7 separate regions of the Mus musculus genome follow, and regions 1, 3, 4, 5, 6 and 7 are each reported to be linked to region 2. Evidence: microRNA targets listed by miRTarBase, many of them from high-throughput screens and not tested one by one. Region 2 holds a microRNA gene; each other region holds the end of a gene's coding sequence.

Evidence for each region. The annotated mature microRNA mmu-miR-5125 reads UCUGCCUGGGAUUUCCUUGU and lies in region 2 at 1,368-1,387, opposite strand. An mRNA with a match to its seed (bases 2 to 7 or 8) in the 3' UTR can be bound and repressed. Matches are read on the target gene's strand: a 7mer-m8 pairs with bases 2 to 8, a 7mer-A1 pairs with bases 2 to 7 and ends in A, and an 8mer does both.
Region 1: the mRNA of B4galt6 is a reported target of mmu-miR-5125. Seed matches in the 3' UTR shown: 7mer-m8 at 3,120-3,126 and 7mer-A1 at 3,863-3,869.
Region 3: the mRNA of Pik3c2a is a reported target of mmu-miR-5125. Seed matches in the 3' UTR shown: 7mer-m8 at 2,410-2,416 and 7mer-A1 at 2,186-2,192.
Region 4: miRTarBase lists Glyctk as a target of mmu-miR-5125. Seed matches in the 3' UTR shown: 7mer-A1 at 1,230-1,236.
Region 5: the mRNA of Mpp7 is a reported target of mmu-miR-5125. Seed matches in the 3' UTR shown: 7mer-A1 at 2,028-2,034.
Region 6: miRTarBase lists Lsm6 as a target of mmu-miR-5125. Seed matches in the 3' UTR shown: 7mer-A1 at 2,287-2,293, 7mer-m8 at 383-389 and 7mer-m8 at 309-315.
Region 7: the mRNA of Cdc37l1 is a reported target of mmu-miR-5125. Seed matches in the 3' UTR shown: 7mer-m8 at 1,393-1,399 and 7mer-A1 at 2,719-2,725.

Annotation. Positions count from the first base shown.
Region 1 is chr18:20,685,058-20,689,118 of GRCm38, reverse strand. It overlaps B4galt6 (UDP-Gal:betaGlcNAc beta 1,4-galactosyltransferase, polypeptide 6), which reads left to right. Exons shown (of 9, transcript NM_019737.2): 8 at 83-184; 9 at 651-4,061. The coding sequence ends at 798. Among named protein-coding and RNA genes, the nearest start is that of Gm16090, 22 kb to the right of the region's middle.
Region 2 is chr17:23,820,659-23,824,725 of GRCm38, reverse strand. Mir5125 (microRNA 5125) reads right to left here and starts at 1,435; the gene lies at 1,357-1,435. It overlaps Srrm2 (serine/arginine repetitive matrix 2), which reads right to left. Exons shown (of 15, transcript NM_001368687.1): 11 at 3,036-4,067; 12 at 2,026-2,313; 13 at 822-935; 14 at 606-710; 15 at 1-510. The coding sequence ends at 501.
Region 3 is chr7:116,336,741-116,340,806 of GRCm38, forward strand. It overlaps Pik3c2a (phosphatidylinositol-4-phosphate 3-kinase catalytic subunit type 2 alpha), which reads right to left. Exons shown (of 33, transcript NM_011083.2): 33 at 536-3,483. The coding sequence ends at 3,301. All of the region lies in intron 1 of Gm10589 (a long non-coding RNA gene), which reads left to right. Among named protein-coding and RNA genes, the nearest start is that of Rps13, 4.6 kb to the left of the region's middle.
Region 4 is chr9:106,151,894-106,155,960 of GRCm38, forward strand. It overlaps Glyctk (glycerate kinase), which reads right to left. Exons shown (of 4, transcript NM_174846.4): 4 at 967-4,067. The coding sequence ends at 3,348. D030055H07Rik (a long non-coding RNA gene) reads left to right here. Exons shown (of 7, transcript XR_003948237.1): 3 at 263-860; 4 at 1,001-1,136. It overlaps Mir135a-1 (microRNA 135a-1), which reads left to right and starts at 2,231; the gene lies at 2,231-2,320.
Region 5 is chr18:7,347,467-7,351,533 of GRCm38, reverse strand. Mpp7 (membrane protein, palmitoylated 7 (MAGUK p55 subfamily member 7)) reads left to right here. Exons shown (of 17, transcript NM_001081287.2): 17 at 390-3,572. The coding sequence ends at 569. Among named protein-coding and RNA genes, the nearest start is that of Gm34979, 2.8 kb to the right of the region's middle.
Region 6 is chr8:78,804,947-78,809,013 of GRCm38, forward strand. It overlaps Lsm6 (LSM6 homolog, U6 small nuclear RNA and mRNA degradation associated), which reads right to left. Exons shown (of 5, transcript NM_001191004.1): 5 at 1-3,299. The coding sequence ends at 3,265. Among named protein-coding and RNA genes, the nearest start is that of Lsm6, 14 kb to the right of the region's middle.
Region 7 is chr19:29,015,399-29,019,465 of GRCm38, forward strand. It overlaps Cdc37l1 (cell division cycle 37-like 1), which reads left to right. Exons shown (of 7, transcript NM_025950.4): 7 at 608-4,067. The coding sequence ends at 706. It also overlaps a transcript of Ak3 not described here. Among named protein-coding and RNA genes, the nearest start is that of Cdc37l1, 27 kb to the left of the region's middle.

The sequences.
Region 1 (4,061 bases), not on the chromosome of region 2:
CTTTGGAACGTCTCAGATTTGTTTTTGTTGTTTCCTCTTTTTGTTCTGGAATTCATTTAATTCATTTTATGTTATCCTGCAGAGTTCACTACGCCGGCTACAATGTAACCCGGCCAGAAGGGGACTTGGGAAAATACATATCTATTCCTCATCACCATCGAGGGGAGGTACAGTTCCTAGGACGGTGAGTGTGATGTCATCTTGAGACTTCGGGGCTTCCAAATTAATTATGCTGTATGTTGTTGTTGTTGTTTTAAAGGAAGGAATTTTCTTTCATAATCAAAGGTCTCTGGCAAATGTTTTTGGGTTACAGTTATAGGGTGTGTGTCTGTGTGTGTATGTGGGGGGTGGTCTGTGTATCTTTGTGTCTGTGTGGCATGTGTGTATGTGTGTGTATATAGAGGAAGAGACAGATGTACACAATCATGCCTATGTTCATAACTAGTTAACTTCTTATTTTTAGAATGTTTCCCTTCTTAAAATATAATCTAACTTGTGACAGTATAAAATTCTCTCTCTTTAAGGTAACCTGTTTTTGACTAGTCTAATTTAAAATAATGGCTTAGAGAGTTTAAAGCATGCCTTTATTATAAGAATGCCTCAGAATATATTTTCCTCTTTTGAACACATTTCCCACTGTTTTCCCTTAGGTATAAATTACTTCGGTATTCCAAGGAGCGGCAGTACATCGATGGACTGAACAATTTATTATACACACCCAAAATACTGGTTGATAGGCTGTATACAAATATATCTGTAAACCTCATGCCAGAATTAGCTCCAATTGAAGACTATTAAAAGAAGTCATTCTCATGGTGGGGTAGACCACAGTGCTGGATCATGAACTTGGCTTGGAGTGCCCTCACCGTGGAAGTTAGAGATTGGGGTGTATCTCAGTGTCCCGGTCTGTAAAAAGAGCCAGCAATCCTTAATGTTTACAGCGCGGGCTCCATCCGTCACACTCTCCCACTCTCCCCCTGCTGGGAGCGTCCCCCCATGGCAAGCACTGTAGAGATAAGAACCCATTGCTTGGGACTGGAAGTGAAGAAAACTCCCTACACAGAGAAGATTTTTATACTGAAATCTATAATTTAATTCAAGAGAATGCTTTTATTTCCGTTCAAACATATTTTGTACATATGTGATGTAAATTAAATGTGTTCAAATTGTTGGAAAACAAGATGTCACAATTTTGCATGTAATTGGTTATGCCTTCATTGGACTTTTATAGACATTTTTTTATTTGCATGGGGAAAAATGTAAATTTATGTCGCCAAACAAAGGTTAAGCCTTGTGTCAAATGAAGGGACTGTCAGCGACAGACAAAGATAATATAGTAACCGTTCTGTACTATTGGTGTTCAGCTTTAGACCTTCAGCCTCATGGCAGGAGGCACGGTCCTCTGAGGGCTTCGAAGGAAGGAAGGACTCGCATAACTTTTCTTCCTGCCACGATTACCTGTTTTGTTTTGTCTATTTTTTCCCTTGCTTGCAGTCTCATCAGATCTTGCCAAGTCAACAGCCATATTGTTTATGCATACTGCATGAGTATTACCAAGAAAACCTTCCCAGTTGTAAAGTGACGTGCTGTACAGGACTTCTTCATGTTAAATGTCTCTATGTACCTCCGCGTGTCAGGGATCTTGTGCCTCAAAAAAACGTTCCCAAGGTTGTGTTTATACACGGTTGTGTTTATACACGGTATATATATTTTTTTCAATCTCATAATGAAAACATTATTATTCCCACCTTAGAAGAACCAAAAGAGGGTATCTTCTTTTAAAAACTTTTTTTTTTTGAAAGAATGACTTTATGGAAAATCCAGTAGTGCTTATACAGATGAATTATACTATTAGATGAGAGATTAGATGCTCTATTTTTATGAAGATAAATGCTTAGATTAAAACAAACTTCAACTTTAATTCTCAGACATACATGGTTCCCTTTCACATTAGCTCGTCACTCCTACTGCTTTTTTCACTTTTAAGAAATCTCTGGTGTTATCCAATTTTTTTTTCACTACAAGTATAATTTAATGCCTACCACCACCACCACCACCCCACCACCACCACCATGGTGCTGGGCAGTGAGCCGAGGGCCTATAGACTTACCTTACAGTCATTAATTGACTGTGTGGATATTGTGACTTCTGCTCACCCTCCACACACGGGTGAGGTTTTCAATGACCAGACAACAACAAAGCCCAAATAGTGTTCTTACTTTGAAAATGATTGATTATAAAAATTCTTGAAAAATAGCCTATATTCACATGTAAGATCTTATCTCCCATCTTTAAACAAATTTAGAACAACATCGTCTGTCAAGTAAACCCTAAGAGTGAGAATTCTGGATGTGAGAAAGTTTGCTCCCCTTGTCTAATGTTGAGAGCTTAGCTTTCAGTTGTCATTGTCTGTCATAGTTTTGGTAATGCTGATGACCACAAGTCAAACCCTACAGTGATAACTAAAATTCTTGCACCGGAGAAGACAGATGCCCTGTTGTGACAGCAATCTCTCCGTGTTTATTCTTAGAATTGCTTCTAAAATATTTACCTCCCAACCTTTTTAGCTACTCAAAAAAGAGTGAAAAAAAAATCTCAACTTCTGGAGATGAAGATTTTTGTATGTTCTCAGTTTATGTTCTGTCTCCTGTGGCTAATGAAGTGTTTAATTTGACCGAATGACAGCAGAATGTAATGTTAATGTTAAGGCGGGTGAGACAGGGCTCTTTGGCCCCTCCTTACAGTGCTGTGGGAAGCTGTGCCATGTGGAATTTTATTGGAGGACACACACTTCATAATGTGGCGGGCTGTCCACAGTGGGGTGCCTTTTGCATTGATACTTAGTTCACAGTTTTAGGAAAATTCAGAACTGGTCATCTGCCTTACTTTCTTAGGTTAAGTCTAGTATTAATATGGCTTCCGGAATTGGATGTAAGTAATTTTGCTATATCTTCGTGTTGCATCTGGAATGTCAGCTTGTGAGAACCACCTTTTCTAATTCAGACCTGGAATTCTTTTCAGTAATGAATAGTGACCTGGGTATGTTTCCATGGATGACAGTTTTGCCTAGTTACCATGACCACGTGACAATAAATCTCTTTCTTACATATTAGCACAAGCAGGCAGTCTGATAGAATCAAATCTATTTGGTGGCTTTGCACTGGGTGTCTGTCTCCCATCCGCTGACTGGCTAACTGTGGTATTTAAAGGCAGGTTTTGTTTTTTTGTTTTGTTTTTTCCTAAACAACTTAAATCAAGAAAGTTGAAACTTATCTGAAATTAGAAAGAACACCCTCTGGGAACTTATCTGTTAGATGTCTTAGTCTCAAATCTAGTGTGGTCCCAGCTGCTGGGAGGTCCTTGTGACATTGGGGAAATGATATGGTGCCTTTGAACTAAAGAAATCGTGGCTGATGGGGAGAAAGTTCCTACATTCATTGATTTCCCACATTCTATCTGATTTTCAATAAAGTTGTCATTTAATTATTTGCCAAAACTAGGGTTTTAATGAGGTGGCTTCCACAGCCCCCTTTTTATATTTATTTTCAGTTGTAGGCCCTTGAGATGGCTCAGGGTGTAAAGGTGCCTGCACCAAGCCTGACAACCTGCATTTGATCCCTGGGACCCACACTGTAGAAGTAGAGACCTCCCCTTACACAGTATTCTCAGACTTCCATATGTGTAAGCACACACATGTACACACACACACAGCAAATTAAAAAGTAAAAGTTAAATTTCTGTTTGTGTCTTATAGAAAGGTGTTCACTAAGAAAATATTCATGAAATTTAAGTACAAAATTATCTATTAAAAATTCCTATCGGTTAGTCGTGGTGGCACACACCTTTAATCCCAGCACTCGGGAGGCAGAGGCAGGCGGATCTCTGAGTTCGAGGCCAGCCTGGTCTACAGAGTTAGTTCCAGGACAGCCAAGGCTACACAGAGAAACCCTGTCTCAAAAACCAAAAAAAAAAAAAAAAAAAAAAAAAAGAAAAAAAAAGAAAACTAAAATTCCTATCCCAGCTCTCCAGATGCAGAGGCAGGTTCTCTGAGTTCAAGGCCA
Region 2 (4,067 bases):
TTTTATTTGACAGAAAAAGTTGCTTTTACTGTACAGATTTTAAAAAACCAAAATGCCTTAAACAAAGTTGGGGGGGAGAGGGCCTCACAACCTTGTAAGGGGGTGCAGCAGGGCCAACCAACTTCAGCTCCTTCCTCTTTCAGGAAAGATTACAACTTACCAAGTTAAACCATCAGTCACCCAAGAATTTAGGGAGCTAACTCCCTGGATCATCACAATCTGAGGCCTAGATGTCCTGAGCTGTGCCCCTCCCTCCCTAGACTCCCTCCCTCCCACTCCAACCCCCAAAACACAAGAACCAGGAAAAACTCACAGAGATCAACATTTCACAGGAACCAAAAAAAAAAAAAAAAAAAAAAAGGGTGGGTGGGAGAGGACGCTCTCCCCTCAAGATGCTGCCAAGGTTCAAGGGAAGGCATACAAAGACTCCTTCCATGATTCTTCTGGGAAAAATGAGGAATACTCATGTCTCCAGAGTATGAGGTGTAGTGGAATCCAGATTATGGAGACCTGGAATAGAGAAGACTGGTCATTCTGGGTCACCACACATATCCCTATCCCTAACTACTAGCTCTCAGAAGGGCCAGACTTCCAAGGAGACACACCTGGAGGAGCGGTGACGATTAGAACGGGGACTAGGTGTCTCCTTCCTCTTGTGACCAGGAGAGTGACTGTCCCCTCGCTGGCCTCTCCAGGAAACTCGCTCACTGCTACAAGAGGAGAAATTAGGTCACAGAACAATACCAAAAACTTTTAAATTTTGCTTACAAATTAATGGTAGCTAGTTGAGTCAGGTTGCTAGCACCTGCTATAGGCCCTACCTCTGTAGATCCCTTGGTGAAGGTTGGGGCGAGGGCTGTCGACGCTCAACGGGTGAGTAACTGAGGGATCGGGAATCCCGAAGGGAGTCTATTGGCTTCCGAGGACTTCGAGACCTAGGAAGCAGAGTAGGCCTCTATAGCTCCACATCCTCCCAAACCCACCAGCCAAGCATTCAGGACCACCCACCCAGGTCCTGACCACCAAACCTCACACCACACAGGGCCAGCCTCAGACCCACCTTTGTCCGCACTCACCCATCCGCCCGCACACCATCCACCGAGTACCCCAGTGGACAGGGCACAGGGTGCAGCGGGGGATGCAAAGATAAAAGAGTCCCTGCCCTTGGAAGAATTTTGTTTGGTAGTAAAGGTTAACAATGAAGGCACACACGCCCCCTACATAGGAAACAGCCCAGCAGGATGGATATGCATGGGCCTGGGGATCCAGAGAAAGGATGGGGACCTGGGCAGGACAGGGAAATGGCAGGGCAGTCTTCTCGGAGGTGCTGTTTGAATGCAGTCTTGCAGAACGAGTTCACCAGGCAGACAAGGAAATCCCAGGCAGAAGGAACAGCATGTCCAAAGGCATGGGGCTCTCCTTAGACTGCAAGGCGCTGGGTATGGCCGGAGCACGGGGCATGTGTGGGGGCGGGCAGGAGGAGCACAGGGCGGGCAAGGGCAGCTGGTGAAGAGCCTCACACGCCATTCCCGCAGAGGTGGCACTTTATCCTGCAGGCCACAGGGCGTTCCGGAAGGATTTGTGGAGTGAAGGGAAGTAACCAGATGTGCGTTTTAGAAAGATCCCTCTGGCTACGTGTGGAAGAGAATGGCGTGGAGGCAGGGAGACAGGGAGGAGGCTGTGGACAGAGTCGGGAGAAGATGACGGTGGCCAGACCAGAGCCCTGCAGCAGCAATGGGGAGACTTAGAGCTAGATCTCTGAGACCAGGCTGCTTGTCAGGGGAGGGGAGAGGGAGGAAGAATCCTATGACTTCCCAGATATGGCCTGGGACACCTCAGTTAGATAGTGCAGCCCTTGACCAGAATACAACACTGTGGGAGGATGGGAGGAGTCCGGCACTCCTTCTCCCGTACAACCAGTCACAGACGTCCACACGAGGCACCCCAGCAGGAACCTCACCCAGGGTCCCCTTTCTGGAGAACTCACCCCAACCCCCCTTCCACAACAGGCAAGAAAGCACTCACCTCCTCTCGCCAGGGGGTGGCTTCTTGGGGCTTGCAGGTTTGGGTAATGCCTGAGGGCCAGGCTTAGCAGGGGAGGGGGAGGAGGAAGAGGAGGAAGAAGAGGAGGAAGAAGAGGAAGAAGAGGAGGAGGAAGATGAGGAGGAGGAGGAAGAGGAAGAAGAGGAAGAGGAGGAGGAGGAGGAGCTGGAACTGGAGCTGCTAGAGCGCCTCTTCCTTTTGGCCGGGGTTGGTTCCTGAGGACGTCCCTCTCTAATAGCCTCCTTTGGGACTGGGGTGGGGCTGGGAACCCTGTGAGAGAAGAAAGGTGTCACAAGGAGACAAGATGCCCCAACCCCAACCCTACCTTCCTTGGCCTGGAGGAACGGCAGTGGGGGAGGGGTGCCTGAGAAAAGCCCTGGGAAAACACGAAGGCAGGCCAGTGAGTAGTACTTCTCTGGAGCAGTGGCACAGAGCTGACCAAACCTCTGCTAACACAAGCAACAGGCTGGGGCCCGAAGCACAAGGGATCAAGGTTAAACCTCAAGAATGTCCCTGATGAAGGATTAAGGCCCCTGGACTCAGATGTGGAAGCTGAAGCTGGGTGATCTCCTTCCTTGGAGAGCCGCAGCTTGGGGAGGCCCCTGTGAGTGCAGGTTGGCTGGGGAGGGGCCGTCCTGCCTGGAGGCAGGGAGAGGGATGGGATGACCTCTGAAGATCCTTCCAGCCCAGGGAGTTCCTCTTGAGGTCTAACTGCCATCCCTCCTGCTGTAAAATTAAGTCCATTTCCTCTAGTTCTGTCCTCTGTAGAGATGGAAAACTTATCATTATCCTCTGGAGAATTAACCTTTGGAGACTTTTATCTGTCCCATTCCTCCCCACAAAGCCCCCGCCCAACATTCTTTCTACTCCCAGCTTGAAGGCCAAGGTCCCCCATACTTTCTCAAAGCCAAGTGCTTTTGACAAGATTTCTCCCTCCCTACTCACCCACCCATTGTTAAGTCCCTGCTCCCTAGATCCCTTAATTGCCTCACCTTTTCAGTGCCACCTCAGGTTGAGCTGGAAGGCTGGAACCCTCTGAATCACTAGAACTGGAGCCAGAGGAAGAGGAGGATGACGATGAAGATGATGAAGAGGAGGAGGAGCTAGATGATGATGAAGAGGAGGAAGAGCTCCGACGTTCCTTAGCTGGTTGCAGAGCAGCCAATGTAGAAGGCTGCTGGGCCCCAGTAGAGGCAGGTGGCTCCCCACCTTCAGCATGGGATATCCCAGGGGCAGGGCCAGAAAGCATGCCATTGTGGTCACTAGCAGAGGATGTGGACTTCGCTACTGTCCCGGATGAAAGGGACTGAGACCCTGCTACAGGAGTGGTCTGGACAACTGAACGAGATTGGTCTGAAAAAGCAGATGGCACAGGGGACCGAGGCCGATCCTGTGCAGGAGGGAGAAGAGATTGCGAAGAAGCCTGAACCATTCTTGAAGCAGGGGAAGGAGCCCGCTCACGCTCAGAGGTCATTCTAGACTGGCTTGGGGCAGATGGTGGTGTTCTGGACCTGGCTCGATCAAGCATTAAAGGTGAGGTTCTGCCACTAACACGATCATAAGCAGAAAGGGGCACCCTGGGACTGGTGAGGTTTGCACCAGACAATGCTGGAGCCATCCTGGAACTGGAGAGATTTGTGGGAGCCAAGCCTGCAGGGGTTCTAGAGCCAGCAATATTCACAGGAGCTGTGCCATGCGCAGATCGAGGACCCACCACCAGGTTTGCGGGGGTTGGAGCCTGGGGTGTTCTGGAACTGGAGGGGTAATTTGCAGCAGTTGGAGGTGTCCCAGAGCCTGTGAGACTCAAAGCTGCTAATGCAGCTGGTGTTCTAGCTCCTGCTAGGTTCACAGCTGAAGCTGCAGGGGTTCGAGGATCTGCAAGGTTCACAGCTGAAGGAGCCACTGCTGTTCTAGGGCTGGCTAAGTTCATAGCTGCAGCAGCAGCTGGTGTTCTTGAGTCAGCAAGGTTCACAGATGCCGGAATAGCAGATGTCCTGGCACTAGCAAGGTTCATAGCTGCTGCA
Region 3 (4,066 bases), not on the chromosome of region 2:
CTCTGAAGATTTTGGGAGCCAGAGGCTTTTTATTTAATGTATGAATGCTCTGCTGCATATAAATCTGCCCACTGGAAGAAGTCATCAGATCCTCTAGTAGATGGTTGTGAGCCACCATGTGGTTGCTGGGAATTGAATTCAAGACCTCTGGAAGAGTAGCTAGTGCCCTTAGCCGCTTAGCCATCTCAACAGCCCCTTAATTGTCCTTTCAAGGTCTTTATACTGGTTTTTTTTTTTCCAAATTATTAGAATGGTTAGAGAGCCAGTCTTGTGCTCATAATCCAGAATAAAGGTATGGTGTTAATTTGCACTTCCGAATGTGGCTAAGTGAACTTTCACAGACCAAGAACCATGCCTACAGAATTCACATCTCAGGAAATGATAGGCTGTAGCAGATTATCTAGACCTTCAAAGAATCACATTCAAATTCAGGATAAATTTTACAAACTCCTGGGTAAGATGCAATAATTATTAAAGTTTAAAACCAAAATACTGAATCAAGAAGGAAGGAAATGACAGCCAAGTTCCTTTATTTCAGAAATATTTTAATTGTAGTATAGTTATGAAGTCACATTTAATTCAATGAATATATTCCAAGTATTAATAAAAATATTATACATCTTAACTCACTATGCTGATATAATTAAAGCATTTTCTTCTTACAGGCGACACTAGTAATCACATGTATGTTTGCATTGCTGGTGAACAGCGTGTAAGTAAATGTGTATCATAATAGCAGGTCTTCAGTGTTTGTTTAAATCTGAGTTATCAAAAGTGAATTTTTTTAAATGTTACAATTCATGAGTCTTAGAAAGAATTAAACAATTTAAGGCAAGATTTTGAACTTTATATACAACTTTAATTTGAAAAAAAAGTACTTAAAAAAGATACACATGCTTTAACAACTCATTCCCATAAACACAGTAATATAAAGCATTGGTGCCAGTCTCATTGGATTCCTCAGAGAAAACAGGTTCTTGGGATGAGCGATCATCTTCAGATCCTAGAGCACTGGCAAGAACAAAGAATTCTGGCACAGGACTTGTATGTAGCAGACTTATTTTTACTTGAAGGTAGTTATAAATATGATATACATAAACATTAGTGTCTTGGCCTGTCTAGCGTTCTCGTTTTCCGATGTATTTTAAGGTGACTGTTAAGAAGCTCTAGAAGCCAGCTGACTATGGTGACTGCAGCCGCAGTGCACAGAGGCTACGTTCTTCCTCCCTATCACTGTTTTTTTGGTATGGGCTGAAGATTAGCATTTTACAAAGAAATAACTTACATTAAAATATATGTATTCTAATGACCAAAGAAGGCACAAATTGAGTAAAATTAAGAGACAGTATCACCTTTTGAATTCTTGTTAACTATACAGTATTACTTATAATATATACTTTTAGATATTAATCAGATTTCTTGTCACTGAAGTGACATTACATTTTTAATTCTGTTTCTGCTAAGATACACGGTAACAGATCACAAAAAGGTCCACGAGTCCAGTCAATGACGACCTTTTACAAACAGCATTTTTTTAAGTCTGGGTGACCCATGGAATGGAATTAGGTTTCTCTCAAAAGAAAAAAAATATTCTAGTGCTACTTACATCTGCAAAACTATTTAAGGAAATGTTAATTGTGGAAAAAGCAAACAACGGTGCTTAGATCTTCATTTCAATTATCAAGTAGACAACACAGTTTAATATAAAAAATTCACATACTCATACAGGTTTCCCTACAAATGGACCATAGTGTTAGGCACCAAATATTTCAAGTTTTGATTTTTTTTAAAAAATGTATTCCAATGATAACACTCTTAACTCTTAATTTAACTCTGTAAGCATCATCATTTCTGTCAATCACTTTGTACAGTTCATAAAAATTTTATTCTAGCGAACTGAATCCGATTGTCCTTTCTTGGTACCCTTCATTAAGTAGTTTGTCAGTTTTCTCTTAACTACCAAATTTGCTACATCTCTATTACCTTTCTAAAAATATTTGAACTTCTAACCAAGAAATTTATTATATATACATGTTTATCAAAACTAAACAAAATTATGTCTGAAATGGGGAATAAAAATGAATCTTTTTTTATTTTTTGAGACAGGGTTTCTCTGTGTAGCCTTGGCTGTCCTGGAACTCACTCTGTAGACCAGGCTGGCCTCGAACTCAGAAATCCGCCTGCCTCTGCCTCCCAAGTGCCGGGATTAAAGGCGTGTGCTACCATGCCTGGCTTTAAAAATGAATCTTATTCTTAATGGCTACTCCACAGTAACTTCACACTTCTCTCTTGCAATTTTCATTTCAGTATATTACAGAAAATAATTCTTTCATGTGAATGTACAATGTTTCCAAATACAGGACAGTTTACACAACACCTTCCATAAATGTCTAAATTAAACTCCTTATCCTGCCTGAGCACGTTACCAAACAAAATAGGGAATAAGGCTGAACAATTTCCATTTGTTTAATGAGGGAGTAAAGTATAAATACATGGAAGTGAAACTCCAATTTCAGTTCACACCCTTACAAATGATAATGGAATGATAGAATTTAGAATACTAATTTTGAATATCAATCTCATTCAATTACGGGGCAATAAACATTAAGTTAAATAGCTTAATAGTGAAAACAACCAGAAGTAGAGGAAATAGTATTTCTGTGGAGAAACCATTAGTAAATGTGCATGACTTGCTGTCCTCAGTAAGGTGAAAATGCATGAAAACTACTTGCTCTTTAATCAGAAGTAGAGTGCCAGTGAAGCATGTAGTTAAGTAAGGCACTGTTATTTACAACTTCAGTCATTGGCACTTACTCTGAAAAGGCTTTAACAATGAATAAAAATCGTATTTTTTTCTATTCTATAAACGACTTAGTAGTTCTCAGCATTCTGACTACTATTTGTGCTTTGCGTTTCAGCCTGTTGAGTAGCAGCTGCATCTTTCCTTTGGTGTCTGTGAACATACACAGTGGTAAAGGCTGTGAGGTGCATAACAAAAAACAATTTGCTGTGTCTGTGTAGGAAGAGTACAGACAAGGTGACCAAAATGACACAGTATTATGTCAAAGTCTTTTTCAGGACTTAGTATATATTAAGTTTGGGATTGGTAGCACTCAACAAAATAACTTTGAAATAGCAATGGCTTCTATAAAAGTTAGTCATATGACTGACAGTTGGTCCAACATGTTAAGTTTATAATTTCTGCCAAAGTATGAAATTATACAAAGTTCCCAAGTGTGTGTATGTGCGCATGCGCACACATTTATAACTCCTTGTTTCCAAAGCTCAGAAGTCGGAAGTTTATAGATACGTTGCCGCAGTCAGCTGATACCACTTAACTGTCTCTTTGCTCAAGTTGAAATCTTTCAGTGGCAGGGTTATTCCACCCAAGAAGAAATTCTCCCGCAGTGATTCTGCACTGAGTACACTCAGTTGAAGTTCTCTCTGCCTCAGAGTTTCTTTGCTGTATCCACTATATACAAGCTAGAGGAGGGGAAAAAGGATAAGGATTGGTTTCTTGGAATCTTTTCAACAAAATGTAAGACATCAGTCAAAAAGTGATGCAATGAATGGCACTGACTAGAGCAGCAGAAGCATGCTTTTAACTTCTGGTCTGTCAGTGTTTAACTCAGACACTGGGTAAAGTAGGACCAATCACTGTCAAAAAACAGATCCCCAAACTCTCAGTCATGGTTTCTGTGAGCTGGAGTGACGGGGAAAGAAAAAGAAATTACCTGGTGATTACCTTAAGGTGATCTAATCGCTGGAGAAAAAAAAAGAGGATAGATGGAAAGCAAGTTTGATAATATAATTTTAAAATTATCTTCCAAAAACAGATTAAAATTCCATTTTCTTCTTTCTTTTTTTTTTTTGGTTTTTGAGACAGGGTTTCTCTGTATAGCCCTGGCTGTCCTGGAACTCACTGTGTAGACCAGGCTGGCCTGGAACTCAGAAATCTGCCTGCCTCTGCCTCCCGAGTGCTGAGATTAAAGGCGTGCGCCACCACACCCGGCTAAAATTCCATTTTCTTTAAATGCAGGAAATGGTAACTTCTTAGTCATAAGAA
Region 4 (4,067 bases), not on the chromosome of region 2:
TAGAGGGAGGGAGGGGAGAGGGAAGGAGGGGAGAGGGAGGGAGGGGAGAGGGAAGGAGGGGAGAGGGAGGGAGGGGAGAGGGAGAGAGGGGAGAGGGAGGGAGGGGAGAGGGAGAGAGGGGAGAGGGAAGGAGGGGAGAGGGAGAGAGGGGAGAGGGAAGGAGAGGGAGGGAGGGAGGGGCCCTTTGCCATCCTGCCTCTGCCAGCCTTTAAGGTGTCCTTACCCACCATGCCCCACAATATTCCTGAAATTCTAAACACAGCAAACCATCTACACCTTGGAATGGAGCAGAGCAGTGTGGAGGTCCACACGGTGACTGGTTGGACACAAACCCCTACACATGCATACTCAGGTGTGTGCACACATTTATGTAGATGCCCACCATTCACACTCGTGGGGTCTCCTGTTAAACCACTCAACACCCTGCTCCTCCAGACCACAAAGAGACCAACAAATCTGCTTTACAGATCCCTGGAGAGGCTAAGTCTGGTCATGCCACCATCCTCAAACCACTGAGGGCAACATGGAAAACAATGGCACATCCCCTAACTCTGGCTTCGCCTTGGGCTGGCCCCCATGGTATCTGAGCCCCAGGGGGCAGCAGAGAATGTGTATCAAAAGCCCAAAGCAGGTTCACATCCCTGGTCTGTGACTGACTTGCTCTACAGTCCCTGATAAACCATCTCCTCTAATTCTCCAGCCATAGGATAAATGGGTTTACCTAAGCTGACCGTGAAAGGCTCTCCAGACCCACAGTCATGCCAAGTGCAGAGAATGAGAAGGCTTTAATGTGAAGGAGGCCTGAGCACCATTGTGGCAAAATCCTCAAGCCATGGAAAGTATCAGCACATGATGACAAAGTAAGGATTTGGCCAGCAAAAACCTGAGTCGGGAGAAACGGCAGCTGAGAGCCAAAGGAGGGCCGTGTCTCTAATAATCCATAATTAGTAAGACACATGTGCATATAGCCATTCATTCATTTATTTATTTTATTTTTCAGTGCTGGGAACTCAACCCAGGGCTTCACACATGCTAGAATAGTATCATTGACCACATTCCCAGACCTCTTGTTGTTGTTGTTGTTGTTGCTGCTGCTGCTGCTGCTGCTGCTGCTGCTGCTGCTGCTGCTGTTCTTGGTGAGACAGGGGTTCTCTCTGGGTAGCACTGGATGTCCTGGAACTCACTCTGTAGATTGGGCTGGCCTCAAACACTCAAGAGATCCGCCTGCCTCTGCCTCCCAAGTGCTGGTATTAAAAGCGTGCACCACCACTGCCCGACCCTTTTTAAAGGTCTTTAAAATGGGATCTCTCTTAGTTGCCTAGGCTGGCTTTCACTCTGTAGCTCAGGCTAGCCATGAGCTCTCAATACTCTGAGAGTCCTCTCGTGTACCTGGGATTATAGGCCTGTGCACCAGGCCTGGCTCCATACTTGATATTGATGGAGAGAAAAAAACAAAAAAAACAGTCCTATTGAGCTCTAACTGTGAGGAATTTGTTTATTTCTATCATCTAGAATGACCAGATAAATAGGTGAGCAAATATAGAAGGTTATGCCCACAAACTGTTTGCTATAATGGGGCCCAATTCAGACCCTGGCCCCCAGACTCTGAGAGCATAGGTACAGGAAAGTGACCAAGGCAGACACGGGGAGCCTCCAACAAAAAGACTCTACCTATATGTGAAGCCCTCAGCAGGCAATGGTGACAGTGGTCCCCACGAGCAAACCTACTCTGAAAAGCACCCATGGGTACACTGTGGATGCATTCTGACACCAGTGTCCACTGCTCACGTGTTTACCTCACAGAGACACCAAGGATGCGGCTGAAAAGCTCTTCTCCTGAAGCTCTGGCCTGCAACTCAGTGTCCAATGGGAATACGTTCCCAAGGTCAAGAACACGGGGACAGAGCCACTCCTAGAGGATACCAGAACCCCAGCGTAAAGACAAAATCCCCAGAGTCTCTGATCCTGTGCACAAGGACAGAAGGAAAGAAATGGTACAAACCACTCCACTTCCCTAAGCCTGTCTGGTCCTCAGAGCCAGCTCACCTTGCTTACCTCCTTCTCAGTCTTAGGAACACACACAGGAGCCAGGTCTGCAAGCCATGGCCCAACTTCTAGCTAGACTGTCCAGAGCCCAGTGGAGATGGGAGGCCCTTCCCAGGACACATCAGCTCTGACCTAGAGCCCCTCACACCCTCACGATGGAAGAAGGGCCCACAGGGGCCGCCCCAGGCCTCACTGTTCTCTATGGCTTTTTATTCCTATGTGATTCTATTGCTCGCTCATATAGGGATTGGAGCCGTGGCGTACGGTGAGGATAAGCCAACAGAGGGCTCTGATGTGGAACAAGAGGGCTCGAGGTAAACCAGGCCAGTGGCTGCAGGCCAAGCCAAGTGACTCACCTCTGCCAGCTATGACAGGATGGGGTGAGGGACTGCTGAGGTCCTTCACTGCTCTGACCTACCATTCTAGTGCTGAGACACACACTGAAATGCTGGCACCAGGGTCCCAACTGGGTACCCGGAGGAGCGACAATGGAACATGGAATGTTTAGCCTGGGAAAAGTGGGCACAGGAGAACAAGTGCAATGCCTGCGGCCTGAAGAAACCCCTTGATAGCCAGAGGGTGAGGGGGAAAGCTGAGAGTGGTCCAAATACAGAAGGAAGAGCCGTGGTGACAAGTGGATCGTCTCCACCCAGTCAGGCAACAGCAGGAGAGGAGAAACCATGATCAGGTTTCTACCACAGGGAGTCAGGGTTAAGTAGGCAACTATAAGCCTGTCCTGTTAACCCACATTGACACTGCTAGGAGACAGATTCAATTGTCACAGATTGCCATCAGCAGACCCTGAGTGTGCACCCAGCCAAAAAGGGTATGAGAAACTCTTCAAGGTACTGGCACCACTGCTGGGGCCACACCACGGGTCCCTGCCCAGCAGCTCCCCGAGGATCTGTGCTATGGAAAGAGGTGCTGAGGGGAGATGAGCTGAGACCCCCACACACAACATTCTCTTTATTTTCAGTGCCCTACCTTCGCTCCATGGAAGAGACAGGCTGAGGACCTGGGCAGGAAGGCATCCAGGGAGAAAATGAGAACTGTGACTGGCCAAGAAGCTCCTGCTGGGCCTCAGGGCTACCTGCTGTCATGACAGAAACTAGGGGTAGAAAGAAGCCCCCATCTTCTAATCTAGTTGGGGGAACAAGCATAGAGTAGATCCGAGGGAGGCGGGCAGAGCAACGGAGGAAAAGTCCTGCGGCACAGTGGGGCCTGGGAATCGGCCCTTGACCTTCCTAAGAGGCCCTGCCCTTGAAGGCCTCTTCTACACTCTCACACGGTGAGCGACACCATCACTGAGGATGAAGAATCAGGAGGTGGACATCCATAACATTGGTCCCTGTCAACCCTGTGTGCAGCAAATGTGTTCCTCCCCGGAAGCGGCAAAAGAAAGTGTATGAGTCGTTATTGGCGAGGGAGGTGGCGATGTCCAGGCTCTCAGCAGAAGCCTGGCTGATGAGATCAGACATGACCCAGGCCCCGGCCACCTTTGTAGGCCCATCCTGCCCATCAGTGCCTCCACTCAAAAATAGCACATCAATAGGTCCCAGTGGCTGCCTTCCCAGCTCCACTCCCACGTGCAAGGCCAGTTCTTGGTTCCGACCGCCCTTGCCAGATCCCTGCAGCTGCACCGTGGGCTCACCACCAGCCAGGAGGCAGACCGGCCCTTTAGCCTTTACCACCGCTTCCAGAGCCTCCTCCAGCTGCAGGTCCGGGAGCTGGAGCTCAGCTGCCAGCTGATGGAGTTCCGCCTCCTCCTCCAAGGGACGCTCAGCCAAGGATGGAGTGAGGTGGGCTGCAGCCACCCGGGCTAGCAGCCCGTAGAACCGAGCCACTCTTTTTACATCACCCTGCATGGCTGTGCTCAACACCATGGCATGGTAGCCCAGCACCTCGGCTTGCCTCTGAGCCTCAGCCAGCGCCAGAGAGTTAGAGCCGATGATCACATTGAGGACGTGGCCACAGGTGTGTGGTCCATGGGGGTCAGAGTCAGCTCGGGAGAGCACAGTCTT
Region 5 (4,067 bases), not on the chromosome of region 2:
ACACTTCTACTGGACCACAGGAGGGGCATTTGAATTATTTTCCTGTAATGCTTCCAACACTAAGGAAGTAGTTTGTGTTATACTTTATTTCTTGTGACCAAACATAAATAGCCAAGCCAGAGCATCAGAGTAAACAGCACCCCTGCTATCCATGACAACAGCAATGTGTCCATGCAATCGTGAGTTAGTTATGACCCTGAAGGGAGTTCAGCTAAAGCTGATGTTAGCAGTAAAAACCTCTAAAAAGGTAGTGAAGGTGATTTTGTTTCTTTATTTTGTTTAAAGTTTGAACACATAACAGCTTTAGGTAGTCATTGTAGAATGTTTACATTTATGTGAAATAATGCAGTTGTCTGGTTACTTAATTTGTTATTACTTGTTTTTAATAGGAAGAAGACTTTCAGGAAATGATTAAATCAGCACAGATAATGGAAAGTCAATATGGCCATCTTTTTGACAAAATCATAATCAATGATGATCTTACTGTGGCATTTAATGAGCTAAAAACAACATTTGACAAACTAGAGACTGATACCCATTGGGTCCCAGTGAGTTGGTTACATTCATAACTCAGAGAAATGTCCTTAATTGTCTTTTTACAGAGTTGCATGGTTAGATCAACTACCATGGTTTTGGTAGGATTTTTTTTTTAATAATTAGTATCACTGTCACAGATGTAAAGTCTTCAATGTCAAAGTCAAAATTTCAGTGCTGGTTTGTTTATGTCTTTCACAGCCTTATTTGAAGCACATAAGTGTACAATCTAAGTCAAAATCTGCACAATGCTATAGTCTTAGCAAAACTTGTATTTACTGGTTTTCTTTAATCTGTTTCTTTGTGAGAGGCAGTAGGTATCAAAGTTCATGCCTCACTTGGGCTCAGGTGTGCTCACAGCCCTTCACTGGGCATGCTTACAGTTGAAAGCATGGGCTTGGCAGCCTTGAGCAAATCCACAGATTTAACTGAGCTGGAAATAAGACTCTCCTTTAAAAAATATGTTCTTCATGTGCACATCTTTAAAACAAAGAAGAAACTCAAATCTTTTCTTGAGGAAGTAACTCACATATTATAGCTTAGGAAATCCTTATGAGTACATATTAGTGATGCCACCAATATTATATAAGAAAAATCTAATTCTCCTGTTTAAGATGAGAGTCTCACTATGTTGTCAACACTAGCCTTGAACTCAGCCTTTGTTTGCCTCAGCCTCCTGAGTACGGGAACATGCCGCTGCATCAGGCTTAAAAACGACTTAACTGATACTACAGATGTAGATACAAACTTTTCCTCATGGTTTAGTAAAAATGGCTCTGTCTTAGGGCAAGAAATGATTACACAGCACCACTTGCTTTAATCTATCATTCTTCAGAAGACATTTCTGGAGTCAGAAAGTTTTCTTCTCTTGCTTTGGAATTTCTCAACAAATTATAACAATGAGATAAGTATTCAAAAACATGTAACACGTGTTAGAGCACAGTGAAGGAAGAGGTGCTCATGTTTCTGGTGTGCAATCACCACACATGTAAATTGTCCTAAAGTGTGTTTTAGAAACCTTATATTGTGTTAAATTTTTGTCAACAAAATGATTAACACCAGCCAGATTGCATTTCAACCTATTCCAAAGGAAGGTGGGTTTTTAAATGTTTCAATGACATTGTTCCTTTTTCTATAATGCCTTAGGTCTCTAGCAAGTGAATGATTTGCAATACTACAAATATCCATAGTTCAATCTTAGAGCAGGTTCCTGCCAGTACTCTGAGCAGTACAGATTAGTCAATGGAAGATTCATCACATCTATGACTTGCATACAAAAAATTATTCTTGTTGCTTTGTAAAGAGTTTAAATATTATGTTTAAAGAAAAAATAAAATGTAGGGAAATTTTATATATTTGTGAGATATTTGAAAGGCATGTTTTTAAATTATCAAATGAGGCTATTCATAAGATAAATTGTATGTAAAGATATAATTTAAAATAGTTTTATGGGCCGGGCGTGGTGGCACACGCCTTTAATCCCAGCACTTGGGAGGCAGAGACAGGTGGATTTCTGAGTTCGAGGCCAGCCTGGTCTACAGAATGAGTTCCAGGACAGCCAGAGCTACACAGAGAAACCCTGTCTCGAAAAAAACAAAAACAAAAACAAATAAACAAATATATATATATATATATATATAGTTTTATAAGCAAGATCAACATTCCATGTAAATATTGGACCTTTTGGCAGATAGGTCCACACACATATTACATGTTCACTGCTGTTTGGTGGTGTCCGTGGCTAGCTTTCCTTAAGACAATGTCAAATTTCTGTGTGAAGCAGAAACAAAAACTTTTCTAGTGACCTCATTACATGTTCAAGCCCAACAGTCAGATGATTGGACTAATGAACACAGTTCATGGAAGTTCTGTGCTTATTAATTAAAGCCATGCAGCTCAAACACAGAGAGAAAGGCTACTGAATTTCTACTCTGATATCACTGCTTTGTGTGGACTGTCTAGAAGCACAAGTCTTAAAAAGTTGGTTTGGATGGAATGTCCTGTCCCTTGCTCGATGTGTACACTTCTCTAAAGGAACTTTCTAGACCAAGAATGGTGAGAAGTGTGTCCAGCATAGGACATTCTGAAATAGTTTAGGTATCCCATGTTCATACCTCAGGTATCTTTGCTGATTGTTTTTCTTCATCTGGTGACTGCTCTCTTCAGTTTTTATTTTGGGTTAGTGCTTGGGAAATTTGGGGTAGGTAGTGAAGGTGATGGAATGTCATGAAAATATAAATGTCTGCACCTGTTAGACCACAGCTGAGCATCTTTCTTTAAAAAATAAATAAACAGAAATAAAGCAGTTTAAGAAATCAGGTGGCATGTAGCCTTACCTGTTCTATTTCTTGATGCTTATAAAGAGATTTAATTTAAACATAAAAGCCAGGCCAAGATACCAACAGCATTTGGCCTTGCTGTGCTCTCTGACCTCAGCACTCCCACCACCAAGGAGAAAAATACTTTGCTCCTAGCTTTCAGCAGCTTGTTTCTGGGGTGCAGTGCCAGCCACTATTAGAAAAGCAGGGTTTCATTGTTTATCCATTTAAAGTTGAACCTGGTATGAGGTGCTTTTTTTCTCCTCTATCTCCCAGGTAGAATGGCCTAAAAGTAAAGAGATAAACTTGAAACAATAACCATGGCTTTACTGAGTAATGTGGAAACTTGGCATCTATAAGGCTGACATTCCTGGTACTATATAATCATCAAGTGTACCTAAACTGTAGTAATTTAAAGTGAGCAAACATGTAAACTCAGATTTACAAAACTATGGAATCAAAAATGTCCCTGAAGATTCAGATTTTCATTTATTTCCCTGTGGCCTATGATGGATTTATAGATAAATGTAATGGAAAGTTTTTTATTTTAATAAAGTATCTTCAAACAATATATCTGCTTGAAAGTTGTTTAGCACTTGAATATGCTATAATTGTTCTACCCTGTGCTGCTTTTTCCGTGGTGGAACAAATTCCATCCTTTGGTATTATATAATTTATTTGATCTTTCCATGCCTAAAATTAAACATTATATTTCTCTTCAAATAATGCTTTCAAGATTATTGGACAAACGAAATTCACTGCTCTTTGTCTCTTAGTAGAAGGTGGGGATGTGCAGAAGCAGAATGGGATGGAGAGTCCAGGCCAGTGTGTTGGCAACACCCATTCTCATCTTCTATTCATTTCCCCTGCTGGCAGACCCAGTTCCATAAGAACTTATCATCTGGGCCTAGGAAGACAAACTGTATTCTTTGGGGAGACTAATCAACACTGACTGGCTCCATCGTTGTGTCAGCACGGTCCTGCTCCAATAGAGAGACTATATGATACAGCAAGGTTAATCAATCAAGAGAGTCATCAATTGATCTTTGTGGGGCTGAGAGTCATGCTAGGCATACGTATGCATTGTGTCCCCAGTCCTGAATCTAAACTTCTTGTTTGATTTCCAGTTTTGAGTATTACCAGCTTTGAGACCTTGGGGCGGGGGTGGGGGGTTGTAAATGGAATGTCTCTGGTCATCCTGTCATACCAGGATGA
Region 6 (4,067 bases), not on the chromosome of region 2:
TTTAAAATCCTGTCCCATCTAAAAAGACAGTGTCAGGTACTTTCTCCTATAAATAGCCAGACTTGCAAGTGACTTCCTATCGTGCACAGGGGGTAGTATCTCACTTATTCATTTAGGGTACCACATAGATCCTGTCCACAGCTGCCATTCAGTGGGCGCTGATCATCAACATCATTTCTTCCAACTCCCCTCCCTAGTTAGCTCCTCTAACTTTTCAAGAAAGTAAGTGTGGTGGCTTGAATTTTGGCCCAGAGAGTGGCACTTCTTTGGACATGTGTCGCTGAGGCGTGGGCTTTAGCTTGTCCTAGCTGCCTGGAAGCCAGTCTTCTCCTAGTGGCCTGCAGATGAAGATGTAGATCTCTCAGCTCCTCCTGCACCATGCCTGCCTGGATGCTGCCATGTTCCTGCCTTGATGATAATGAACTGAATCTCTGAACCTGTAAGCCGGCCCCAGTTAAATGTGGTCCTTATAAGAGTTGCCTTGGTCGTGGTGTCTGTTCACAGCAGTAACAACTAAGACAATAAGCAAGCATCACTTGAGGCTGTCTCTTGCCCTATTACATAAGAGGTGCATACTGTCCACCCTGTCCTTTAGGCAAGACTTTGTGGAATCACAAATGGTTGATCAATGGAAACACTCATAACTGCTTGGCCAACTACAGTAGACACGGCAGCAGCTCCTGGGATAAAACCCCCTGCTGGACATTATTCAGATCAGAGCACACCTAGCCGTGTACTCTCAGAAGCCAGCTGATTAGAACAGGTAGCTGCTGTGGAGCACAGCCGCTTGAAGGTCGTGAGGGAAAAACTGCAGTTGGCTTCTTTCACCAATAATTTGTTTTGGGGCAGGAAAAACAAATAAAACGTGACAAGCATAGATTGGCTATGAGAACTCCAAGGTTGAGATCTTCCCACAAGAGGAACAAGCCAATACACCATTTTCTCTTAAACCAAAAGTCACTGTAAAGACGGGCATGTATGCTAATCTGCACTGAGGGACAGACTGGCTCCTTGGCCTGGAATGCTGTCATCCAAGAGGCACTGTGAATATCAAAGACAGTTTTCCCACAGTGCTTGTTTCTAATGAAGCTGACTGTAGCCTCCAGGGTGATGCGGCTCACACTTAAGTCGATGCTGCTGTTTCCAACCTTGAGGAAATCCCTTAAGCATTTGTTACTATCTGTCACATCATTAGGAACTCCTCGCATGCATTACATATGGCCTCAAACATGATGCTCAAGATGTGAACCCTGTCTGCAGGCTGAGGGGGAACATGGTTCAGACCACATGGCCGCCATCTGTATTTGTACTCGTCTACAGCTCTGTTTGGGATAAACACTTTTGAAGTAAGAATTGATTCAGTCTGCAAGATTAGCCAAGGAATAGCTCACAGACCAAAACAAAATATGAAGGCAGATAGTCTGGAAAGCAAGCACAAGTTCTGTTTCCTGCTAGACATTCTGTTTTGTCACGGCCCAAGAGAAAGATGGTGGCAACTGTGGTTGGGGGCATAGGGACACGGAAAATGTATTTACTCAAGTGAAAAATTTTCACCCTACAACAATTGTCTTTGCTACCATCCAACTGAAAACCATTCACAGACCACGAGGAGACTACAGTTAAAAAAAAAGTAATTTTACCATTTACAATTTGTTTCAGAATTCTATCACAAGAAGGTATGCACAGGGGACAACATGTGCTGGTCCAGATGCATAATATGGTTATTACCATAAAAATGGTAGCATTTCCCAAAGTCCATCTTGATTAAAAGCGGTTCCATGGATGAAAACAATATTCTGCAGTAGCGCTATTAAGCTAGAAATGGCAAGAGGGAAATAAAGACCTGCAGGCTGGAGGGGAGGTCAGGGAAGAAATGAGCAGAGCCGGGATGTTACAGACTGCTGGAGATAACAGCAGGGCTGCTTTCAGGGCAGCTGAGGGGATGAATGAAGGGATGCAGTAACCTGGCGGCCTCACACACTCTAAAAAACAAATGAGAACATGTGTGCTCCACTCCGAGAGACATCCATTTTCTCCTTTAAAGAAGCCATTTATAAAAGAGCAAATTGGTGATTTGTACTTACACACTGGTGCCTTTGCAAGCCCCTGTCAGGAAGTGATGAATTACTGAAGCTTAGGATAAAGTGTTTTATTTTCAGTGTGCACACCATCAAACCTTACTCCTCTCTTTCCTGAGTTATTAATTGTTTCTGATTACTATTTAAATTAGACAAATGCCATATATACACCTCTCCAGAAAGCACACCCTCCCTCCTTAGCTGTCCATCTGCCTCCACTTCCTCCAGCCGGGCAATTGCTCTAAAACTGTCCGACCTCCCGAGACAGGGATCTGTTTAGATTGAAGGAGGGTAAGGAAAGCCCTAGCGTCCATGCAACCAAAGCACCCACACACAGTCCACAGACAGCACAAGCCCGCTCAGCGGGAGTCACGTGACCTGAAGGCCAAGAATACAACCCTTTCCCCAAGGCCACTTGCTAAAGCAAAAAGCAGGAGAAACTTTCGCAGCCGAAGCTCAGTGCCTGGAAACTGAGTCTAAGCACTCTGGGCTTGCACCACCTCAGCCACAGCCAGTTTCTCAGGAACAGTAGAGCTCCTCCCCTGGCTGGCGTAACCAGCCATTGCACCAACACTCTCAACAGGGAGCAAGTTAACATGAAGAGTCTAACTGCACAGGAGGCTTCCAGGCAGTGTCTCACCTCACGTGGCTGACCTTTCCAATTCCTGACTCTACAGTTGCACTCCTTTGTGGAGATACCACCACTAACTAGGTGACTAAATAAACAGCTGATTTTCTGACCTCTTGTCCCTTTATAGCCCAAGGCTGAAACCATATGACTTTCTATCTACCTGCTTTAAATGGTACGGATGGTGAGTAGAGAAAGAGACAAAGGATGCCTCCAGAATGCTTGATCACAGGTTCCGGGATGTACCACTTAGTCAGCTGAATACGTAATCAACCAATGGAATGACAGGGCAGGAATCTTAGGTAAAATAATCCTGGAGAAACAAACTGTTTTAGTTTTAGCATTCTGTACAGGCAGAAATGATAAAGACTGAGACATAAATGTGAAAAACTTAAGAGTCGATCTGTAATGCAATACCTCTATCTTATTCCAATGTCAATTAAACAAACAAACAAACAAACCCCCACCAGCCACCATGAAAACAGGCCAACTAAGATGGTAAGAGAACCAAAACCACTTCATCTATCCATCTCTGAAGAGCACTGCCTCCTGGTGTCTTCACATCCGCCTCTTCTGTGTACTTATGTACAGCACTGGAAAGACAAGAGAACGAGCAGTCACTCGAGGGGCACAGCATCGGTTCAGTTTTAAAGGCATTCATGGGTCCTGGCCTACACCTCGAACACTTTAAAAGACTGTTTCTACCATGCAATGAAGGTCTCTATAAAACAAGCTTTGCGTCTAGACCGGGCTTGGACATCTTACCTGATTATAACTAGTCTTATCTATGCATGTTACTGACTTTACAAATTATGACTGGGAATTAGAAAAGTGAAAGTGCCTAAAATGTAAGAATGATTTGTAAATAGCTATATCACAAGTTTTGAAAAGGGCGAATCAGCCAGATCTGTTAGGTTAGGTGTCACATTCAGAATGACTAGCACATGTGTCTGGAGAGACGACGCCCATCACTTAAGAGCAGATGTAACTTGCAGATGTTACGGAGCAACAGGGCTGGGTCCCCAATTCCTACAAAGCAGTTCACAACCAACTGTAAATCTAGTTCCAGGGAGTCCAGTGACCTTGTGTGGCCTCCTCAACTACCAGGCACGCATATGATGTACTTACAGACATGCAGACAAACACTCATACACATGAAAAAAATGTAAAAGAAAGAAATGGCATTATTTTCGTTTATCTCCCCAGTTTACTCTGTAAATTGGTTTACTCTGATAATTTCCATAGGAGGAAAAAAATGAGAAAACATTTTTAAGAAAGCAAAGTCCTTATTCTGAGATTAGTATAAACCTTTGGTGTCATCCAACATGTATTTTCGCCAGTCATTCTTAGCACAGTGGAAT
Region 7 (4,067 bases), not on the chromosome of region 2:
TTTACATTTATAGTTCTTAACTCTTGTAATTAGATGATAATCTTAAGAATACATTGCTGGCTAAAACCTGTACTTTAACAAATGTAGTTTTTAAGTTTTATGTGTCTTGAGTGTTTTGCCTCACTCTGTATCTGTGTGTCATGTGCATACAGTGCCCACGGAGGCCACATGCAGCTCTCAGATCCCCTGGGACTTGACTTTCAGATGGTTGTGAGCTGCTATGTCTATGCTGGGAACTAAACATGGTCTTCCGTACTGCTGTGTCATCTCTCCAGCCTCCTAAAGGCATGCTTATTAAATGTAATGCTTATGAGGAAGTTTAACCTTGTATGGTTAAAGAATTAAAATTATAGTTTTGTTAAAAGAGATAAGAGGGGTATCTGTAACATTTCTGTTCCTGTATATGCACTCGGTCTGGATAAAGAATAACATTCTATCTTTAGTTCTTCAGGTTTCGGTCTGTGTGGACTCCACAATTCCACTTTCTTTCCTAGTATGCTCTGCTGCAGAGGAATAGAAGGTGAAGCCGTGTGCACAGTTGCATGTGTGGTGTGAAGCTGCTTTTCAAGTGTTGTTCCCCGTCTGTCTTTCTTTCTCTCTCCCCCAGAATCCAGATTCTCTTCAGTGTTGTACCCCTGCCCCTCTGTGCAGTGTAGACTCAGTGGTACACAAAGAAGATGATGACCGAATGATGGACACTGTGTGACTCAGCTAGACTGCTGAGCCCAAGGACTAGTTTGTTACGAGAAAGGAAGAGCCTGGCTATTTTCTTGACACTTTTATGGGTGCTGCACTTTATTTTTGTTTGGTTTTATGGGAGGGAAAGAGTACTGAAATGTTTTGCAACTTTTTTTATGTGCTGCTAGGGTTTTTGTTGTTGTTGTTTTGTTTCTGAAGGGAGGAGTGGTAACCATATGTGGCAGGAAGTCAAACTGGACAGACTCTCCCCCACCCCTCAGTTACTAAATTTGCCTTTAACTATTCTTATTTTTGGAATCAAAGTATGAAAATCTGCACAACACAATGTTTACAAGACTGGTTGACTGAGGAGATGTCTGCTACACGGTCTTTTTCTTACATGGATATACATGTCCTACTTCGAGGAAGGAATTCAAGATAAAAGTATGCTGTGTCCCACTGCAAAGTTCAGCTGTCAAATCTGGTATTCATCACATTAAAAGCAATAAATCCGCAGTGGTGACCTACTTTACTAATTAGTAAGCTGGGTGGCACAAATTGCTATTTTAAGACATTTACGTTTGTATTTTCGGCACCACCAGTTAACTCCTTGGCTAGTATAAATTTGATATTAAAAACATTACATTTATCCCTAAAGTAGTCTCAAAACTGTTCAGAAGTTGACTTTGTCCTGATGACTGTTTAAATATTAAGCAGGCAGTGAGTGTAGAAAATGATAGTTTTCTGTTTTTCCAAGAAGATAAAATGCAAGCTTACTCTAATCTACTTGACATAGTCCGGGACCTCTCAGGGAGTAAGTTTTAAAAGAATAGTAACGGCCTGTAAGAACAAACAGGAAGAGTAAGGTCCTTGTTAAATCACAGCCACTGTGTTCCATGTGGTGAAGCCTTGAGAAGTGGGAGCTGAGCTGCCAGCCATGCCTAAGGATTGCTAACAGCCCCTTCAAAGGCGGTGACGGGTCTCACTATCTGCTACTCGCTTCTAGCTCAGTTACTAGAGGATGCCTCTGAGTTTTACTGCTTCCTGTGTAATTCATTGCAGATCCACCAGGATGTTTGATGATTCTTTTATTTAGAATTAGATGACAGTGCCAATTATGATATCCTTATTATTTGAGGATTAATCTTCCAGCATACAGGAGCGCTAGCTTTGGTTATTTTTGAGTGTGATTTTTGGCTCAGTACCCACTTCAATTTGTAGCAAATATTTGGAAAGTGGGTACCCAGGGTTTGGAAATGCAGGTCTCAGTTTGAGTTAAGAAATCATGCTAAGGGGCCATGGGGGCTCAGAGCTGTGGCCTCCGCCTCAGCTGTCCTTTTCAGCCGATGGGGCACCTAACCCTGTGGAAATGGACTGGAATTGTTGAATCATACTTCTGTAATGTCACACTCTTCCTAGTTCCCAGAATAAAAGTCTTTTTGTGCTTTTGATATAAATATATATATACTCTATAATAAAATGTCTGACTAATTTATATGGCAGTGCTCACTGGCTTATAAGTTTCTTTTAAATCAGTGACCTAGTCATTGAAGTTATTTGTTTTATTTTTTTCTCTCTTCCTTTTTCTTCTTGTCTGGAGCATGCTCTGAGTTTCCCTCTGATACCAAGTGGACAGAATAGAACACAGTAGATCCCTGATTTCACAGAAGTAGCTCTTGACTGACCACCTTCCACTTCACTTCTGCCCATGACTTGTCTATGGTCACCCAAGTGGCCGTAGCTTTCATTTTGTCTTCTATAATTTAAAGCTCTTGATGGCCAAAACAACAACAACAACAACAACAAAAGTATTAGCAAAGTGAGTATATAATTTTAAAGTTTATTTTGGTTTTGTTATCTAAAACAAGAATTAAGAAAACTTTTTTAATACTCGGCTGGAACTTTTTTGCCAAAGGAATCACTAACGGATGTCATAATTTGCACTTAAGGATGGGAACTTGACCATTAGCAGGACTTCAGTATTAAGGTGATCTATTAGGCTGTGTGTGGTCGTGCATGGCTTTAATCCCAGCGCTTGGGAGGCAGAGGCTGGTTTATCTTTCCGAGTTCAAGGACAGCCAGAGCTACATAGAGAGACTGTCTCAAGACAAAATGACAGTCTTTTGGAGTCCTTCGATTTCCTTGATTTGAAAATGTCCTCTTAGTATTGAGCTAGCTATCTCCAGAAAGAATACTCCTCTCTTTTCTTAAGTAATAAAGAATAATACTACTTATCAAATAGATAACTCATATTTCAAGTGAAAAATTTTTCCCTAATCTATGAGAAATTCAAACTAATCACTTAATCAATGAAAAATAGTTGACATCAAAGTTATTTAACAAAGACTATTGTGTTTTTTCTTTTAATTTTTAATTTACTTTATTTATCTGAGTATACTGTAGTTGTCTTCAAACACACCAGAAGAGGGCATTGGATCTCATTACAGATGGTTGTGAGCCATCAGGTGGTTGCTGGGAATGGAACGCAGGACCTCTGGAAGAGCAGTCAGTCTCTTGACTGCTAAGCCATCTCTCCAGCTCCCAAAGACTGTTGTTTTATTTTAATGAAATAGCTGAGGGCTTAGAATGGTTCAGTTGGTAGAGCTCTCGCCTAAGATTCAATGAGCCCTTGATTGCATCCTCACCACCACATAAACTGGGCACGGTGGCACATACCTGCGGCCTTAGTGCTGGGGATGTGAAGACGGGAGGGTTAGAGGTGCATAGTTTCCCTCAGCTACATAGCAAATTTCACAGCCAGCCTTCTGCCTAGATGAAACTCTGTCTTAGAAGAAGAGAGACAGAAAGAAATAGCTGTACTCCATGTGTCCTAAGAGCTGTTGTTCCATCGAATGGTAGTGGAGAACATACTGATTAGAATTATTGCTCTGAGATTCGCTTTTAATTACACCATCTATGGTTCTTTCAAAATTTTTTGCCTAAGAAACTTATAATAGCCTTTAATTTCTCTTCAGAAACATTAGGCCTTTTTTAGACTAGCATGCATATTATTGTAAAAGCGAGTAAGAGCGCTTGAGATGGCTCACTTGGTAAAGGTGCTTGCTGCCAAGCCTGCCAATCTGTGGGACCTAAATGGTGGGAAGAGAAAGCCAGCTTCCTCACGCTTCATCCAACCTTCATACATGTGCAGAGCATACACACACACACACACGAGTTTTATCTTTACTTTTAAAAAATGTATTAAGTAAATTAACATGCTTCCCCCGAGAGCACACATCTCTGTTAATAAGTGGTCTCCTTATAGTGGAAATGCCAGCGAGGTGTTCTCAGAAGAGTCAAGTGAGTTACTGCTCTCAGAGGGAGACACATTTCAGTTCTTAAGTTGGTGAGGAGCAGAAGTGGTACTTGTCTGGACTGGGGTGGGTTTT